Linked DNA regions of Arabidopsis thaliana. The protein of the gene in region 2 interacts with the protein of the main gene of each other region in a biochemical or structural test. Each region holds a gene or a part of one and is shown on either strand. Other genes may lie near its edges. The genes, in order: CLV1 and CLE2.

Region 1 (6,100 bases), on a different chromosome or scaffold from region 2:
GATTTTGAATTTTGAGAGCTGCAGTGTTGTTTAAATCTGAATGAAACTCAGGTCTTTCCAAGTTAATCAAGATTGTGGCCTTGAAAGTTTTGTGATTTAAATTGTATATGATTCTTAATGAAGAGACTAAAACAGAGTAATGAAGGATCTTGTTTCTCTACCTTAATGAATTTGTGACTAATTTGCCTTGTCTTCTTCTCACACCCGTTTATAAGTTGTGACTATGTGCCTTGTCTTCTTCTCTGAATTGCTCTATGAATGGAGGTAAGAGTTATGGATAGAATTAGCTTCACAGCATCATCCTCATCTTGTGGGAAAATGCACATTATAGAGGTTGAATTCTGTTGTTCATGAACTTTTAAAGCTTCTTGGTTGTTGATTTCTGTGAATTTTTCCGGTTTCTTAGTTTATGTGTGTTTTGCTTCAAGAGCAGAAACTACAATGTTATGACCCTGAGGTGATTTTCTTAGCTCGTAAAAATATGAGAAGTGAATGACCCCCAAGAACTCAATGAAACTGGTCATTATTCCAAATGCAGAGTACGAGTCCAATCTCTTAATCAACCATTAGTCTGTTGATTCCGTGTTTTTTTTTATCAGATGTGTTTCCTTTTTATTTTCCGAGCCATCTGCTGGTAAATACTTTGTAAGTAAGGTCAAGATTGCAACATGACACTGTCGGAAGCTAACACAAACCTGAATTTAGATATGACCCTAATTCACATATTCTAAACAGTCTAGACTTAAATCCAGAGGTCAAAGCTCTCACATTCTTTTATTTTATACACTCTGAACGGAGAATTAGCTAAAGTTTAAAGCCATCAAGCAATAAGCATATTGATTACATTACATACTCGAGATAATAACACATAAAGAGGTAATATACAAATTGAAACACAACAAATATACAAACCCGAAAGTATTAGAAACCATAAATAAGAACACCCAAAAAATGATCACCACATTTCGCATCTTATTTTCATATTTATCTTGCTTGGGTCAGAACGCGATCAAGTTCGCCACGGATTTAGGAGGGTTAGTGAGCATGTGCACAACTTCCCTCATCGTAGGCCTTGCCGCGGCTTCTTCCTCCACACACATCATTGCGATCTTGAACACATGAATCACACTTGTCAACGGGTAACCAGTCAACCTCGGGTCAACAATCGCAACAACAATAGCAGCATCCGATGGCTGAGTTATCTCCTCTTCCGTGTTCCTCACCCACCTAACTATATCCACTCCTTCTCCAAATTCACCAACAGGTTTCTTCCCAGCTATTAACTCCAACAAAACCACTCCGAAACTATACACATCACTCTTCTCGTCCACTTTCAAGGTATATGCATACTCTATGCAAACCAAAAACAAAATGATAATCAGAACATATATCATTTTGGTGAGTACTAATGTTGTTGACATGTAACTAACCTGGGGCGATGTATCCATAAGAGCCAGCAATTGAAGACATACACTCAGAAGCAGCACCATCAACTAAGAACTTAGCAAGCCCAAAATCAGCAACATGGGCTTCAAAATCAGAGTCCAAAAGAATGTTATTGGACTTAACATCTCTATGCAAGATCAATGGTGAACAATCATGGTGAAGATAACACAAGCCCTTTGCAGCTTCCACGGCTACTCTATGTCTCGTCTCCCATTGAAGATGACCACCTTTAGATCCATGCAAAAGCTCTCCAAGGCTTCCATTAGGCATGTACTCATAAAGAAGGAGATTCGTATCCTTGTTCGCTACGTAACCAAGAAGTCTCACTATGTGACGGTGGCGGATTCTCCCCAAAGTTTGAATCTCCGCCGTGAATCCATGATCGCTCCTCCCGGTCCCACGGCCAACGAGTCGTTTAATCGCGACGTCTACGTTGTTTGGCATTGATCCACGGTAGACAATTCCAGCTCCGCCTTTACCGATTATGTTCTCTTCTTTAAGACACTCGAGAACGTCTTCAGATTTGAAATCTAGTTTCTGGAAGGCGGTTAGTTTCCAGGCGAGAGATTTCTGGTTCTTCTTCTTATTCATCTGACGAATCGCTACACTGATTAGGATCAAACCGGTGATCGCTGCGATAACCGTGATTACGATCCTTGACGGTGAGAACAACGCCGTGTGATTGTGATCGGAGGTTTGTCCTGGCCGTGTTGGACAAGAGACACGGTGAGGGAGACAGAGGTAAGTGTTTCCGGCGAAGGAAGTTTCGTTGAACACCAAGAATTGACCACCGAGTGGTACTCTACCGGAGAGATCGTTGAAAGAGAGATCGAGAGTTGTTAAACTCGTCATGTTTCCGATTCCGGTAGGGATTGAACCGGTTAATTGATTACCGGAGATATTTAGAGTTCCTAAGTTTTTCACGTTGTTGATCCCTTTAGGGATTTCTCCGTTGATTCGGTTACGGCTGAGATCGACGGAGATTAAAGTTGAGCAGCGAGAGATTGAATCTGGAATACCGCCGGTGATGTTGTTCGCACTTGTGTTGATCCTCGATAAATGCTTCAATTCGAAGATTTCTCTCGGAATGTTGCCGCGAAATCGGTTCCGATCTAAGAATAGAGTCTGTAGATTGGGGAAATTACCAATCGCAGGTGGAATCTCGCCGGAAAACCAGTTGTTAGAGAGGTAAATCTGATCGAGAACATCGCCGGACATCGTTACCGGAAGTTCACCGGAGAAGAAATTATCAGTGAGTTCGATAATCGTAACTAACGGTAGATTGAAAAGCCCCGCCGGAACAGTGCCGTTGAGAAGATTCTTAACGATTCTGATTTTGGTTAAGGATTTGCATTTACCAAGCTCTTCTGGAATTGGACCAAAGAAGAAGTTGTTAGAGAGAATTAACATCTCTAATTTCTCACCTCTGCATAAGTCCTTGGGGATAAGTCCGGTGAGATGATTATCAGAGACATCAAGCTTTATTAGATTCCCGTTCCGGCCAAGATTCGCCGGTAATTGTAACGTGAAATTGTTCTCCCATACTTCGAAGACTTCGAGTTTTGGTAATTCTCCGATGGCCTCTGGTATTTGTCCGTAGAGATTGTTTCTGAAGAGATTGATTAGAGTAATGTTTCCGAGATTGATGAAGCTTTGAGGGATTTCTCCGGTTAACTGATTGATTGATAAATCGAGAGATTTCAAGCTGACTAAACCGGAAAGCTCCGGTGGTATATGACCGGTTAAGTTGTTGATGTGAAGAAACAGAGTATGTAGATGTTTCAGGTTACTTAAACTCGTCGGAATCTCTCCGGTGAGTGTACAGCTCGCCATGTCGAGGATCTCAAGCTTTGTTAAACCACCGAACTCCGGTGGAACACCACCGGTGTAGCTGTTGTAGTAGCCAATATACATTTCTCTTAAGTTCTTGAGGCGGGAAAGAAACGCCGGAGATTTACCGGAGAGTCCAGCTCCGTTGAGACCAAGATACTCTAAGCTTTGAATATCTCCATAACTCTCTGGAATCTCTCCGCTGAAGAAATTTCCACCGAAAGAGAGGTATTTAAGCTTCTTAAGCTCTGACATCTCCGGTGGTAACTTACCGTTGAAATTGTTGTTATAAGTGTCAAGAACTTCAAGATCAACCATAGCTTTTAAAATCTCTCCAGGGAATGTTCCAGTAAGGTTACCATTGTTGGAGATATTCAAAACCTTGAGAGAAGTTAGACTCTTCATCTCCAATGGTAATTCACCGGTGAAGTTGTTGGCAGCTAAAGTTAGATTCACCAAATGAGTCAACATCCCAATCTCTGGTGAGATTGTACCAAACAAAGGAGTGAAGGAGACGTTGAGAGAGATAACACGAGCATCGTCGTCACATGAGACGCCGGAGAAAGAACAGTGAGCATCCGGAGAAGATGAGTGAATCCAGTCGTGGAGACCGTGTCCTTTAGGACCAATCATGGAGGATTTGAGATTGAGAAGAACTTCCATGTCAGTGTAAGCGAAACATGGTGAGAAAAATAGATACAGATGCAGAAACAGAAGATGAGTCTTCAAAAGTCTCATCGCCATTTTTTTAGTGTCCTCTCAGTGAGAAAGAGCGAGAGAAAATAATAAGATAGCGTGAGTGTTATGCGATAGGACACAGAGACATGAACAATGGCATATTATGAAGAAGAAGATGAAGAGAATCGATGTGGTACTACTGTTCTAAATACCGTAAGACTTTGTGAGCGAATATATACTTTTATGTGACTTTACATAAATATTGTTATTATTAAAAATAATGCGCCAAAATACTTTTATGTGTTCATTTTTCAAATTATCTTGTAAATCTTGTTATGGTTACTGTCTTAAGTAGATTTATCATTTGTGAATAGAGAAATTTTACGAAAATAAAAGATAATTAAGGTACAATTGATCAGAGAACCATCTGCTGATCTTGCAGGTAGATAGATACAAACTATACGACTTATGGTCAAACACATACGTCTCAGTCTCTCATTGGCTATTTTTACATTCGATTCTTTTATAACGAGTGATCAATAATATTGCTGAGATTGTACTTTCAAATTTGGTCACACACTATTCAAACTCTAAAATCACTGGAATTACACTAGAAAGGCAGTTTTACTGGAGTCAAACTTTAGAGTTTTTAGTAGCCGCCACTACTACACTTATTAGACATGGAGAAACGGGAACGTCGTCGTTTTCTTCTTCTCTGATAAGTCTTCTGACACGATTTGTTTTGGCTTCATCAAACAAAAATCAATAGATAAGAGGTTCACGGCGTTTTAAATTTAACGGTGTAGAGATGCATCTCTTCTTTAACATTGACAGATCTTTATCTAAACGGCGTTGATCTGACCGTTATAAATGCTATAGACAGGACATAACGTTACGTTCCCTAGAGCCTGTGGTTTCTTCTTTCTTTCTTCTGTCGCCGTCTTGTCAACGGCACCAGTTATATAATCCGACGGCGTTTATAGCATCGTCGTCACGTGATGGGGAGAAAAGAGGAATAAGAAGACAAGGAGAGAAGTAAATGGGCTTTAATTAGAAGTAGGGCCTATTTTTCTAATTGGCCCGTATAGAAAGTCTGTCTGTGTCCTTTTCCTAAAGAGACAAATTTGCCCCTTGTGGTTTTTTTGGCTTTAACTTCCAAGTCAACGCTCTTTCTTGTATTTTGTCTTCTCACTTCTCGTTCATTCATACACTCCACTCACCGGTCTGTCACCATACAGACCTTCTGCTTCAAGGTCCCCACGCTCTATGTTCATATTTTACCTTTGTTTCGTTCGTGTGACTCTCTTGAAAACATTAGGGATTTATTCACTTCGGTCCATTTAAGATTTGATCGTGATTAGTCCAAAGTCCAAACCGATCAAATTAATAGCAACTGCCGATACCAAATTATATTCGTTTTGTAATCGGTGATTCAGAAAAAAGTTCAATGTATATAAATTCGTTCGTAGTGTTGATATTAGGACAAATCACTAGTTTGAAACTAAAGATACTAAAAACTATTTAATGTTTGAAGTTTTAGGTTTAGTTGTTAATACTTTTGGCTGAAAACGTGTCAATTTTGTTGTTAATGATGGCAAAACGAATAGCAAAATATTCCTAATGAATTAGGCCGAATGATATGATTAATATGCTTAACTTACATAAGTGAATCTTTCTTAATTATAAGTAAGCACCTTAAAGCAGTTTTTACAAGATCGATTCTGCCACAATCAAAATCGATTCTATCAACAATCTAACAATAAAATAATAATAGTTGTGAATTAATGGTCTGCCGTTATACAAGCACTATGGTTCTTGGCGAATATATCTTCATCCCGCTAACAATTTTTTTAGTTTGATAGAAAAATATATCAGGTGCTTTAGCAACAAAAAGGGATTTTAATCTTTAAAGAAATCTATACACTTGGGGTTGACATACACTTGGGGACCAATGTTCTATTATTATTGCGGTATATTGGTATAAAGGTCCTTCCTAAATGGCAGCGAATTTCTCATATTAATAATCTTTTGTGCATTCTCTTTTAGATATTATCTTATGATATACATTAGATTAAGAAGTAAACGCTGAAAAATATGCATACTTAGCAACAAATAAATGTGCTTTTTTCTCGTGTCTATTTGGTTT
Region 2 (3,446 bases):
GTGTATAATGTTCAATTGTTTAATTAGTTTACTTTTGATATGCATATGATTTTCATCTGAATCTGTCTTTCTCACTCATGAGTCATCATGACATTTCATCCATGGGACGATCGTAGTACTATTAGGTGTTTGGTTTACTGTAAAAGCATATTTAGTTAAAGATTTCTGATAGATTATTTTGCAACTCTTTCTTATAAAAATCGATGGAGCAAACGCTTTAAGTTAAGTAGGCATACATATAATCAACATAGACATGTTGAATTTTGAAAATTTCAAGTTTACACAGTTTGATTAAATATGTAAACCGTAAACTGCATCGATTCATAGATATCAATATTTTACAATGCTTTACCTAAAAAAAAAAAAAAAAACGAAGTAACATGGTTTCGACGACCAAATAACTGAATAAGTCATACGGGATAACGATCAATTTAAAACACAAGTAATTATGGGACGAAATCTTATATATGTATGCAATTGACCATGTATCTAGATCGACCACATCTAAATTGTACGTTCCATTCTACTGTTTTGTCCGTTAAGAAGACACACGAAATTATACATATTTGTTTGTTTAAAACATACAAGTCACAATCGGCATATAAAACACGATGTATCGTAAAACAGAATCATGTGTACGTACATGCAAGACCATCTAAATCAACGTCGTCATACGTACCGCGTTGCTATAGCCTATATGTATAGTAAAAATTCAAAATAATAATCAAAAGTAAAAGGTGAATAATAATGATACAATCTGAAACGTAAAATCACCAAATTTAGAATATTTAGTTAACGTACGATAACGTATCAATAAAACTGTAACTAATTTTGTAGTATTATGACAAACGTAAATTCGCAAATTTATTACAAAAAAGAAAAACAGCTTCGTTGCAACCAAATTATTGATAAGTAATAAACATGTCGAAGAAATTGAAAAACACAAAATAACTAGTGATGTTGTGGGTCGGGTCCTCCTGGGCTTAACCGCTCTGGAGATTTCCCATGGCTACCCGCAGCTTGATCATCCTCTACAGTCGGACTCGTAGCCTCGATAGAAGGGCTTAGGCCTCTCACCTTCACCCCGACCCGAGCCCCCTCAAGAGGGCGGCTTCCAGCGGCGATTGAGGATAACAGAAGAAACAACAAGAAGCAGAAAGTGAAGCTTAACTTAGCCATTACAGATACAATTAATTAGTTTCTGTATATATAGAAAAGCAATAGAAAGAGAGATAGATTGTTCACGTGGTGTGTATGAGTGTATATGAGGAAAGAAGAGATCTCATGAGGGTTTCTATTTATAGAGTTTTATTTGAATTCTAGTAGTGCGCGAGATAGGTTTAGCTAGCTTAAGGCTTGAGTGCAAGCATGAGTTGTCACCAAGGACGGTTTTTCTCGTTGCCTACATTTTTCTTCATCACCAAAACTTCTATAATAATCATATTTAATCTGTAACCAGCTGAGCAAGTGACTCTTGCGACTTGCAAAATGCAAATTGGTACTTTGAATAGTACAAAGAATGATAAAGATCGCCGCATTACGGTGTACTACACATATTTAATACGATCGACATCTTAATATATAGATATTCTGAATTGTGTTAGGGCCTAGGATTGGCCAAGCCCTTTTTTAGACTCATGTGCATTCCATTTTTAAACATTTGTCGTTGATTTGTTAGGTGGCCTTGTCTCTTGGATGGATCTTATGCTAATCCCCCCCCCCCCCCCCAAAAAAAAACTTAGTGAATATATTGCAGTGATTATTATGCATTTTCCAGTGTAAATCTATAGAGTAAATTGAATATTTTATCTGAGATTATATCATTTTGAACATAGAAAAGTTCCCAATCGAATCTTTTTTGAAAGAAGATCTTTTGTCACCGTGTGTTAGTAATTGTCAAACCCTTATTGAGCCATGCATGCAATCATCCATTTAAAAAACTCGGTGATTTGTTAGGTCACCACGATTACGAAATAAAAAGCAACTAATCTCGAAACAAGTATTTACACGATCAAAAGTAAATAAGATTTATCCCTGAAATATGGATTGTTCTATCCATTTATCCCCGAAACAAGAAGGATAAAGTTCTATCCATTCATATACGATCGTTTTACGTTAGTACATCATCAAAACTAAAAAAGATATGAATCTTATATACGTATTTACATTGGACCGTCAAAAAGAGCGAGATAAGAGACGGCTTCAAGTGCTAATTATAATCACATAATTATATATGTCGTAATGTCGATAAAGCAAAATTATTCAATACCAAACCTTACACCATTTATAACTCGACCGTCCCTATCCAGTGACATTATATATTAGTATATGTATGCGCATAGACTAATATTATAATACGTGTGTCGTGTGAGAGAGTTAATAATACGAGGTAATGATAATGGACGAGGAGGGTGATTCATGAAAGTCCAATAAGATAGAAAAGGAAATATGAAAATATGAAGTCAAAGGCAGAGTGCACTTATGGGTTTTGTATTGGTTTAGTATTGGTGAGTCGAAGGTTTTCACTCTTTTTCTATTTACACATTTGACTCATCAGGAGATTTCATTACAAGAAGAATATTCAAAAAAGTTTCAACCATCGAGAAAAGGTATTATAATCTGTAATACCTTTTGTCAGAACGTGTGGATAGTAGTGTAGTTTAAGATTCCACTAAGTCGAGGTTAAGTGATATATTTAAAAGGATAAGTTTCGACCCAATCACACTTCTTACTCTGTAATTATGTTTTAACTGATGAAGCAGTACTTATCCAAATCCGTATTTCATTGTAAATGGTGTCAGCAAATTTGTTTATCCAAAAAACTATGCATGCAACACATCAGTGAATACATATATATGTTACGTTTATTTTGACGGTGCATTTTAGTGGTGACATATAAAAGGAATATACTTTTTTTTATATAAAAAGTGATATTCAGTGTTTTTTTTATTTCTGTGAACAATTATATGAGATCAGATACCATAAGTTTGGGAAAGAATTAATTGTTCTGGAGATTGAAGAAAATGCTCTTATCCTCTATGTGTCAAATGCCACTCTCTTTATTGCGGTCTTCTCTGTTTTGCATCAGTATGACTTTCGATATAAATCCCATTTCTAGATAAACTTGTTATTTGACTATCACTTGTTAAAAGGATAAACTTGATTTTTTTTTATTTTTTTTTAAGTTATTAGGAGTTGTCGAAAATAATCAAGAGGGTTTTGTGTGTGTTTAGAGTTAATATTATCTGAAAGAAAGATAAAATGGTCCAAATTTTATATTTTCAATTCGGACCATCACTATTATTGGACAGGCCTTGATCCTAAAGACAATTTCTGTAGCTGGATTGTCATTGCAATCACTAACTTTATTTTCATCTCAAATTTATAGTTAAAAACTGTATATAATATTCAGACCCATTCGTTGAAATCAGAGATATAATAATGAT

The links.
Region 1: the proteins of CLE2 (region 2) and CLV1 interact in a test that uses a peptide from one of them, tested with the Arabidopsis thaliana proteins (one study listed by BioGRID).

The regions. Positions count from the first base shown.
Region 1 is NC_003070.9:28,462,633-28,468,732, forward strand, and holds CLV1 (Leucine-rich receptor-like protein kinase family protein), read right to left. Parts: upstream 4,340-6,100; 5' UTR 4,021-4,339; coding exon 1,431-4,020; intron 1,352-1,430; coding exon 999-1,351; 3' UTR 712-998; downstream 1-711.
Region 2 is NC_003075.7:10,209,825-10,213,270, reverse strand, and holds CLE2 (CLAVATA3/ESR-related 2), read right to left. Parts: upstream 1,695-3,446; 5' UTR 1,180-1,694; coding exon 952-1,179; 3' UTR 819-951; downstream 1-818.